Callithrix jacchus: one gene and its partners. The protein of the gene in region 3 binds, or shares a complex with, the protein of the main gene of each other region. Links are inferred from orthologs where the notes say so. Each region holds a gene or a part of one and is shown on either strand. Other genes may lie near its edges.

Region 1 (3,653 bases), on a different chromosome or scaffold from region 3:
TGTTCTTCCCTTAGAATCCAAGAAGTCTCTGGAGGAGAGAGAGAATGCGCATGTCAACCCCACGCTTGCTATCCCCATGATCCAGAAAGGATGCACCCCCAGCGGGGAAGGGGCAGACAGCGAACCCCGGGCTGAGACAGTGAGCTGGCCCCTTGTCCCCCTTCTGCCCCAGCCTTTCTTTGCCCTGTCTGCCACGCTGTGTCCCTGCACGTAGCAGGGAAAGTCTGTGTGTGCTAGAGGCCCGCCACCTGCCCCTTCTCTTGCCATCCTTTTCGGAAGCATTACCAAATGAATCTGGATACCTGGATGCTAAAAAAGTACTTGAATCCTAGGATTATCTGAATGAGATGTGCAGCAAAGGGAACAGGAAATGTAAAGGCCCTCAAGGTAGACACTGCCTAGAGTGTTTGCTGACACCAAAGAGACCAGTGTGACTGAAGTGGAATGAGTGAGGGGAAGGGATAGTAGATGAAGTCAGAAAGGAGACAGGGTGCTAGACCAGGCAGGGCCTTGTAGGCCATTGTGAGGACTTTGGCTTTTACTCTGAGTGGGGTGAGAGCAGGGACAAGCCCTGAGCAGAGATGAAATATGATTTATAATTTGACAGCATCCCCCTGGCTGCTGTGAACAGAATCATTAGTGAAGGTGGAAGCAAGGGGCTTAGTCCAGGCTAGAGATGCTGGGGGCATAGACCAGAGTGGTCTGGAAGGATAAGCAGGGTTTAGTAAGAGAGGGAAGAACAAACAGAGTGAGTACTCCTGTTGGTAGCAACAGCCTAAGCAATGACATAGTAGCAGAAAATCGGTGTGGCAACTTGTATCTCTGGAGTGAATGTGAAAGAGTGATGATGGGAGGTGACAAGGGAAGAGGTTAGAGGTGTTTCTACAGAAGTAACCAAGTCTGTCTTTCATACCCGCAGACCTGACTTTTCACCTTTTCTTTCATAAATTTCTTGCACTGCTTCTTTGGAGTCTAGTTCTCCTACACCTGCAGACCACTCTCCCTTTTGACTGAACTGTTATTTCCTTCATCTTTTTTTTTTTTTAACACAGTCTTGCTCTGTCATCCAGGCTGGAGTGAAGTGGTGCAATCTTGGCTCACTGCAACCTACCCCTCCTGGGTTCAAGCAATTCTCCTGCCTCAGTCTCCCGAGTAGCTGCAGTTACAGATGTGCGCCACCATACCTGGCTAATTTTTGTATTTTCAGTAGAGACAAGGTTTTGCCATGTTGGTCAGGCTGGTCTTGAACTCCTGACCTCAAGTGATCCACCCACCTTGGTCTCCCCAAGTGCTGGGACTACACCTGTGAGCCACTGTGCCCAGCTCCTTTATCTTTAAAGAAAAAAAAAGATCCCACTTCACTCTTCATCCTTTCATCCTGTTCCAGCTTTGGCCTCATTCCTCTAATTTTTCCCTCTATAAACCTCCTCCTGCAGATTTCCGCATCTCAACTGACCAAAATTTCATCCATCCTTCCTCTCACTCAGCTTAAAAACCTTGGAGACAGCTGGGCATGGTGGCTCACACCTGTAATTTCAGCAGTTTGGCAGGCTGAGGCAGGCGGATCACCTGAGGTCAGGAGTTCGAGACCAGCCTGGCCGACACGGTGAAACCCCATCTCTACGAAAAGTACACATATTAGCCAGGCATGGTGGTGCACGCCTGTAATTGCAGCTACTCAGAGGCTGAGACAGGAGAATCGCTTGAACCCAGGAGGCGGAGGTTGCAGTGAGCAGAGATTGCACAATTGCACTCCAGCCTGGGCCACAGAGCAAGACTCCATCTCAAAAACCAAAAACAACAACAACAAAATCTTTGGAGTCATTCTCAATTCCCCTCTTTATTTCATGCCCCGTCCAATCTGCCAGCACAATTCTATCATCTTTTTTCATAATGACACCCAGAACTGACCACTTCTCACCACCACCAATACCACCACAAAGGGCTGAGCCACCAGCATGTCTCATCTGGACTATTATAGTAATTTCCTCACTGGTCCCTCTTGTGGCTCCCACCTGGCTCAGGGTCCTCTGACTTCTGCCCAGCTTTCCTAATTTAGTCTCTTCGCCACCCTTCTCTGCTCTCTACTCTCACCATCATGGTGACTTTCGTGATACTCCTCACACCTACCAAGCCTTGTCTGGCCTCAGGGCCTTTGCTATTACAGTGCTTTCAGCTTGGGACACTTTCTTCTCATATCCTCATGGCTCCCTCTGCTGTTATCTCAACCCAGTGGCACTCCCTCTCCATCCCTCTGCATCCTCTTACCCTGCTTTCTTGTTCTTTACCTCACCACCTGACACATCATGTTCTCTGTGTTTTATTTATAGTGTGTCTCCAGTACTAGACTAGAAGCTCTGCAAGGGTAGGGGTTTTTGTCTGTTTAGTTCACTGCTTCATCCCCAGTACCTAGAACAGTATTTGCCATAGATTAGGTGCTTTATATTTGTTGAAGGACTGAATATGGAGGAGTACAGTGAGGGATGGAAAGAGGAAATCAAAAGTCACCCTTGAGCTGATTGGAAAAGACACATAGCAAGTCACACAGTGGGTGGCAGCAAGTGCACTTCAAATAGAGGACCCAATATAAGTAATACTGACCCTCCTTCCTCTGCCTGAACCTGTAGGTGCCAGAGGAGGCCAATTATGAGGTGGTCCCTGTGGAGGCCTATGGGCTGGCCATGCTGCGGGGCATGGGCTGGAAACCTGGCGAGGGCATCGGTCGCACCTTCAATCAGTGAGTTCTGGGATGGGGTAAGGGGACAGACAGATCAGGCTGTGATCAAGATCCCCAGGATCACTGCCAAACTGGAACCATCCAGGCAGGGAGGGAGGATACATTATTGCCCTAACTAATTCAGCAGCTCCTTCCACTACTGTGTTTTGTTTTATTTTATTTTTATTTTAGCCACAAAGGGAGAGGAATGTTTTGTTTTGTCTTCTTTTTTGAGATGGAGTCTCACTGTCGCCCAGGCTGAAGTGCAGTGGCGTGATCTCAGCTCACTGCAACCTCTGCCTCCTAGGTTCAAGTGATTCTCCTCCCTCAGCCTCCCGAGTAGCTAATTTTTTATTTTTAGTAGAGATGGGGTTTTACCATGTTGGCCAGGCTGGTCTTGAACTCCTGACCTCAGCTTATCCACCCGTCTTGGCCTCCCAAAGTGCTGGGATTGTAGGCGTGAGCCACCACACCTGGCTTCCACTTCTGTTTTAAACTCCCATTTGGCCTTCAGAATACTGTAATAGAATCCTATTTTTATAAAGTTTGCCTCTGGGGACATCAATTTCCTCATCTGAAAAATGGGGATAGTAATACTGACTTCACAGGTCTGTTGTGTGAGTTAAATGAAATTATACATATAGGCCAGGTAGTGGCTCATGCCTGTAATCCCAGCACATTGGGAGACTGAGGCAGGAGGATCACTTAACCTTGGCAGTTTGAGACCAGCCTGGACAACATAGGGAGGCTCCATCTCTACAAAAGATTAATTAATTTTAAGAAAAGAAATTATATACGTAAAGCACATACAGTAGGTCCTGGCCCCAAGAAAGCATAGACTAAACATTTACTATTGTCATGCAGACTTACTACCCTTTCTTTGCAATTGCAAACTCTGAAGAATTCTGAAAAACAAACATTTTTTCCTAAGCCATTG
Region 2 (3,653 bases), on a different chromosome or scaffold from region 3:
TTTTTGTGATGTCTCTGTCACCCAGGCTGAAGTGCTGTGGTGCAATCCCCGCACGCTGCAACCTACGCCTCCTGGGTTCAAGCGATTCTCTTGCCTCAGCCTCCTAAATAGCTGGGATTATAGGTTTGCACCACCATACCAGGCTAATTTTTGTATTTTTAGTAGAGACAGGGTTTCACCGTGTTGGCCAGGCTGGTCTCGAACCCCCGACCTCAAGTGATCCGCCTGCCTCAGCCTACGAAAGTGCTGGCGTGAGCCACCACGCCCAGCCCTGCTCTTTTTTTTTTTTTTTTTTGAGACGGTTTCGTTCTTGTAGCCCAGACTGGAGTGCGGTGACGCAATCAGCTCACTGCAACTGCAACCTCCGCCTCCCGGGTGCATGCGATTCTCCTGCCTCAGCCTCCCGAGTAGCTGGGATTACAGGCGCACGCCCCCATGCCCAGCTAATTGTTTTGTATCATTAGTAGAGACGGGGTTTCACCGTGTTGGCGAGGATGCTCGCCTGACCTCAGGTGATCCGCCAGCCTCGGCCTCCCAAAGTGCTGGGATTACAGACGTGAGCCCCCGCGCCAGGCCAGAAGTTTGTTTTTGAAACCCGAAACTCCTGCCACCAAACCTAGTCACTGACCACGCTCACTGGGGAGTCGTCACCTGTTTAATCTCTCTGCCGCGAAGATATATGGGAACCGGGGCACCCCGGAAGCGGAAATCCAGGAGTCAAACACGTCATTTCCTTCAGCTAGAGGAGCTCAACGGATCTGTTTTCTTTCGCTCAGGCAAAATCACAGAATGAAGGCGGTGAAGAGCGAACGGGAGCGAGGGAGCCGGCGAAGACACCGGGACGTGGATGTGGTGCTGCCGGCGACGGTGGTGGTGAAGCAGGAGCGTCTCAGCCCGGAAGCCGCCCCTCCCGCCCACCGTCGTCCGGACCACTCCGGCGGTAGCCCTTCCCCGCCGGCCAGCGAGCCGAGCCGCCCGGGCCACCGCGGGAACCGAGCCCGAGGAGTTAGCCGGTAAGTGGGGGAGCAGCCCAGGATGGACCTAGGGTTGGGCTCATTCAGAAAGGCGGGCAGGGCTAGCGTCCGAAACGGGTTTTGAATGCTGGGCGCAGCTAGCCCGGACCTAATCCAGAGGCGGTTGAGAGTGATCCAGTCGTGCCTGTGTTATGCTTGCTCAGTCACTTGCATGATAGCTCGGTGTTCAACGCCTAATGCCTAACTGGCAGGATCCCGTCCCTCCATTCTTGTGTCCCCAGCACTTTGCAAAGTGTGGCTCAGCAGGTAGCACAGATAATCTGTTAAATTGGAATGAGATTCTCCTCATCCCGAATGGAGGAATGGAGTGCGGGCGTTGTCTTTACAATTACCTGCCCAAAAAGTTTTCACGTCGACAGAAACTAAAAAAAAAAGTTCACATAGATTTATGCGTTCCTTCAGCGTAGTTTTACTGAGTGCCTGTTAAGTGTTAAAAGACTGCCCTAGGTTTTGGGGCTGCAAGGGTGATTCAGTTAGATGGTCTTCACCGTTTCCAAATCTAGCCCTGAGACAGACAATAACAAGAAATAAATAAAGTGGGTTTCAGTTAGTAACAAGTATTATTGACAGGTTAAAACAGTACTGTGATAGTGAGAGATTGGAGAGAAGAGGGAGGAGGCCTCTAAAGAGGTGCCATTTGAACTGCGACCTGACTGATAGGAATGATCCAGCCTCTGAAAGATCCAGGCAGAGGAAACAACATGTGCAAAGCACTTGAAGTAGAATGAATCATGATTGAAATGGGAAAAAGCCAGTGTCAGTGGAGTATAGTGGTCAAGCAGGTGGGTGGTAGGAATGAGATGGTATAGGCAGGAAGCAGAACCACAGGATGGATAAATTGTTATTGATGGTAGGGGTGTTGGTAGTGAGGGGTAAAGAGTCAAAGGTGACTTCTGGATGGTGATGCCAATTAACAAGATGGCAAAGAGTAGGAGAGGAAAGGTTTTTGAAGGCTTGGGAACTAAGAGCTATGTTATCTAAGTGAGAAGGTTCAGTAGAGAGTTGTCTTTGTGAGTGTGGAATGCGAGGGAGATGTTAGGGCTAGGAAAGTGAACCTCGTGACTATAATGTGTCTGTCAGAGACCTTCACAAATGTGGTGTTTGTGTTAGTATGTAAGCCTGATACTGGAAGCTAATTTTTATGGGGGAAGGGAAATTGAGTAAAATCCTGTATGTACCATGCTTTGTATAGGTCCCCACCCAAAAAGAAAAACAAGTCCTCAGGGAGAAGAAGCAAGTCTCCTCGGAGTAAGAGGACCCGAAGTCCTCACCACTCAACAGTCAAAGTGAAGCAGGTAAGTGGATTGGGGTGTTTTGATGTTGGGGCCACATAGAGAGCCTTTTCCTATCATAGCTAGAGAGGGCTGTGTATGTGTGTTGTGTGTGTGTGTGCACGCACACTCGCCTACATTTCTACTTGTACTTCCAATGGGCTTTTCTGAAAATTGGGTATATTTCTTTTTTTCTGCTTGTTTGCTGAAATTCACCTTTTTATTTTGAGATTATTGTTGGTTCACATGCAGTTGTCAGAAATAATTCAGAGAGATATACTCTGCCTGGTTTCTCCCAGTGGTAACATCTATTCATAACAGAACTGTGGTACAGCATCACCATCAGAATATTGACATCAGTATAGTCAAGATAACATTTCCTTCACCACAAGGAATACCTCCTGTTCTCCTTTTGTAGCCACACCCACTCATCTCCCACCTTTATCATTCTTTAACTTCTGGCAACTTCTAATCTGTTCTTCATTTCTGTAATGTTTTCATTTCAAGAATATTACATAAATGGAATCATACAATGTGTAACCTAATTTAGGATTGTCTTTTTTTCACTCAGCAGAATCCTTCAGAGATTGATTCAGGTTGCATCTCTCAGTAGTTTGTTCCATTTTATTTCTGAGTGATATCCAATAGCATGGATTTAGCCACTCACTCATTAAAGAACATCTGGCTTGTTTCCATTTTTTGGCTATTACACATAAAGCTGCTATATAGACATTTGTGTATAGGATTATATGCGAACATAAGAGTTCATTTCTCTGGGATAAATGCTCAGAAGTGCAATTGCTGGATTGTATGGTAGTTGCAGGTTTAATTTTTTTAAGCAATTACCAGACTGTTTTCCAGAGTGGCTGTATTAGTTTACTAGGGCCACCATAATGAAATGCCATAGAGTACGTGGTTTAAACAACAGAAATTCATTTTCTTGTAATTCTGGAGGCTAGAAGTCAAAGATGAGGATGTTAGCAGGTCTGGATTCTCCTGAAAAACATCCTCTCTCCTTGGCTTGTAGATGGCTACCTTTTTACTACATCTTCACATGATCTTTCTCCTGTCCTGGTGTCTTTTCTCAGCCATATTGAATTAGGGCCCTACGCTCATTTTAACTTAATCAGCTCTGTAAAGACCTCATCTCCAAATACGGCTATTAATACATTCTGAGGTACTTGCGTTTGGTACTTCAACAAGCTAATTTTGGAGGGCACAATTTAGTTCGTAACAGTGGCTGTACCATTTTATAGTCCCACCAGCATTGTTTGAATGATCGGGTTTCCCTGTATCACCATTTAATGTTAGCACTTTATTTTAGCCATTCTGATAGATGTGTAGTGGT
Region 3 (2,721 bases):
AAGATCATGCCATTGCACTCCAGCCTGGACAACAAGAGCAAAACTGCTTCTCCAAAATAAAAATAAAAAAAAAAAACAACAACTCAAGACCACAGGAAATTACACTGAGAGCCCCGAGCTTTTTCTGCTCTGTATAACATTCTTGGTTACTCTTTCTTTGATGGTAACTCTGGGCTGGGATGCATTTGGGAACAGCCAATGGCAGATTGCTTCTTGTCTTTTGGCCTTTGTATAACTAGAGACTCGGCCTTTATTTTTTTGTCGCAGGGGGCACGTGACTCAGGATGCACCCATTCCAGGCTCCCCTCTGTACACCATCAAAGCCTTTATCCCAGCCATCGACTCTTTTGGCTTTGAAACTGATCTCCGGACTCACACCCAGGGACAAGCCTTTTCTCTGTCTGTCTTCCACCATTGGCAGGTGAGAAAACATCGCAGGCTGGCTGGCTGCGTTGGCCTCACACCTCTGCAAGCCTCATCCCCTTCTGTCCTGATCCCCCTCCAAGCCCTAAGTGAGATGTACAGCATCCTAGAGAAGAGTCCTCTTCTGGGGAGCATATATTCAGGGCAACTTGAATCTGTGTCTCTCAGTTTAAAAAAAAAAAAAAAAATAGAGGACCAGCACAGTGGTTCACACCTGTAATCCCAGTACTTTGGGAAGCCAAGGCGGGCAGATCACGAGGTCAGGTGTTCAAGACTAGCCTGGCTACCATGGTAAAACCCTGTCTCTACTAAAAATACAAAAAAAATTTAGCTGGGCACAGTGGTGGGTACCTGTAATCCCAGCTACTCAGGAGGCTGAGGCAGGAGAATCACTTGAACCCAGGAGGCAGAGGTTGCAGTGAGCCAAGATCGCACCACTGCACTCTAGCCTGGGCGACAGAGCAAGAGTCCGTCTCAAAAAATAATAATAATAATAAATTTAAAAATAAAATAGGGACTAACACAGAGAAACCCTGTCTCTACTAAAAATACAAAATTAGCCGGGCATGGTGGTGCATGCCTGTAATCCCAGCTACTCAGGAGGCTGAGGCAGGAGAATTGCCTGAACCCAGGAGGCAGAGGTTGCAGTGAGCCGAGATCATGCCATTGCACTCCAGCCTGGGCAACAAGAGCGAAACTCAGTCTCAAAAAAAATTTTTTTTTTTTCTGTAAAATAAATAAGAATCCTGCTTCTGGGCCCAAATCTTCTGGGGAGTCTGCCTGGGCCATCTGAAATTCCTTTGTCTTTTAGATTGTCCCTGGTGATCCTCTGGACAAGAGCATTGTCATTCGCCCTTTGGAGCCACAGCCGGCTCCTCACCTGGCCCGGGAATTCATGATCAAAACTCGTCGTAGGAAGGTATGTCTTCCTTGGGCCTGTTACCATCCCTCAACCCCCCAGAACTCTCAGAAGTAGGATCTCTATGTCTGTCTTTTGGCCCCTTTTCCTAAAGGACCCTTTTCCAATGTAAACATGTGATCTGTATACTCTTGAGGCAACTAGACCTGGGCCCTAGTCTTGCTGTGGAAGGAGAGCTTTATCCTCCTATATGATAGTACCCTGAAAGCAGGGCTGCTGAAACAACACCACCTACATTCCTGCTACCACTAGCCTCACTGAGCGCAGGTCTTGGGTGGCCTCCCCACTCAGTCTGCCACCACCTCGGGCTTTCTTGTATTTTTCTTGTATTTTTCTGCAGGGCCTCAGTGAAGATGTGAGCATAAGCAAATTCTTCGATGATCCTATGTTGCTGGAACTCGCCAAACAGGATGTTGTGCTCAATTACCCCATGTGAGTGCACGGACTCCTGGCAGCTCCTGCTCCCTACAGTGAGTTGCAACTCCTGCACTTGAAGCTGAGACCTGGTATGACATGGCCTTCGTGTTGTTAGAGTGTCTGGAAGCTGCTGTTGGTGTCTTGAACAACTCACCAACCTCTAACCCAGAGCGCCAGTGAGAGAGGAGCATTTGGCCTCCTGCTTCCTTCTGTGCCCTCTGCCAGGCTCCATTTCCAAGGAAAGAGAGGAGTTTGCTTGGACTCACAGAAAGAGAAGCGGGGATGGAACCCCCCCATCTTTGGTATTTACATGGAATTTTATTTTCTACAAGTTTGACCTTCGCCATGGTTTGCAAGTGAACAGAACATTTTGACCTCTGTCTTGCTCTGTTCCTTTCATCCCCGTCTCCCCTGCCCCATCTGGTCCTGGTGCTTACATTCTGAATATATGTCATCTCCCAAGAGGCTTCACTGCCTCTGCTTCCAGCTGCAGCCTCCTTCCTGCCTGAGTCCCCAGGGAAGCAGCCTGCCTTTTAATTCAGTGTTCTCATGAGTATCAAGGCCCTGTTTTTGCCCCCTTGCTCCCACTCCATGCTGCTTCAGGGTGGGACCTAAGATGGCTTGGGAGTTGTTGGTTCCTGGGATCAGAGGTCTACCCCAGCACCTCAGGAAATTGCTGTCCCGCCCCCCAAGAATCTCCCTTGCCCTAGGGTATGGGGCCAGAGCACTGATTTCCAGCCATTTGCTCTAAGTCCTCTCCCCAGCCACCACCAGTCCCTTACTCTGTTCTCCCCAGTGAAAAAGAGTCTGTTGATTTTCCTCAAAACTGCTTTATTAGAAACATACCAGGGATTGATTTAGGGAAGTCGGACTGCCTTGGCTCCTATAGGAGTCCTACTTCTCTCCAACGTCCTGTGCCATCCTTTTGACATAATCGCTATACATTGTGTACACAGTCCCTG

The links.
Region 1: EFTUD2 (region 3) and GPKOW share a complex: the UniProt entries of both Homo sapiens proteins name them as parts of the minor spliceosome. The link is inferred for Callithrix jacchus from reciprocal best matches to the Homo sapiens genes EFTUD2 and GPKOW.
Region 2: EFTUD2 (region 3) and SNIP1 share a complex: the UniProt entries of both Homo sapiens proteins name them as parts of the minor spliceosome. The link is inferred for Callithrix jacchus from reciprocal best matches to the Homo sapiens genes EFTUD2 and SNIP1.

What each region holds. Positions count from the first base shown.
Region 1 is NC_133524.1:49,668,900-49,672,552, reverse strand, and holds part of GPKOW (G-patch domain and KOW motifs-containing protein), read left to right. Parts: intron 1-14; coding exon 15-139; intron 140-2,627; coding exon 2,628-2,737; intron 2,738-3,653. UniProt on the Homo sapiens protein: RNA-binding protein involved in pre-mRNA splicing. As a component of the minor spliceosome, involved in the splicing of U12-type introns in pre-mRNAs.
Region 2 is NC_133508.1:74,105,561-74,109,213, reverse strand, and holds the start of SNIP1 (smad nuclear-interacting protein 1), read left to right. Parts: upstream 1-725; 5' UTR 726-789; coding exon 790-1,013; intron 1,014-2,226; coding exon 2,227-2,329; intron 2,330-3,653. UniProt on the Homo sapiens protein: Required for pre-mRNA splicing as component of the spliceosome. As a component of the minor spliceosome, involved in the splicing of U12-type introns in pre-mRNAs. Down-regulates NF-kappa-B signaling by competing with RELA for CREBBP/EP300 binding.
Region 3 is NC_133506.1:85,259,536-85,262,256, reverse strand, and holds the end of EFTUD2 (116 kDa U5 small nuclear ribonucleoprotein component), read left to right. Parts: intron 1-267; coding exon 268-421; intron 422-1,234; coding exon 1,235-1,342; intron 1,343-1,682; coding exon 1,683-1,778; 3' UTR 1,779-2,137; downstream 2,138-2,721. Other genes in the region: HIGD1B (HIG1 domain family member 1B), read right to left, coding at 2,654-2,718. UniProt on the Homo sapiens protein: Required for pre-mRNA splicing as component of the spliceosome, including pre-catalytic, catalytic and post-catalytic spliceosomal complexes. Component of the U5 snRNP and the U4/U6-U5 tri-snRNP complex, a building block of the spliceosome.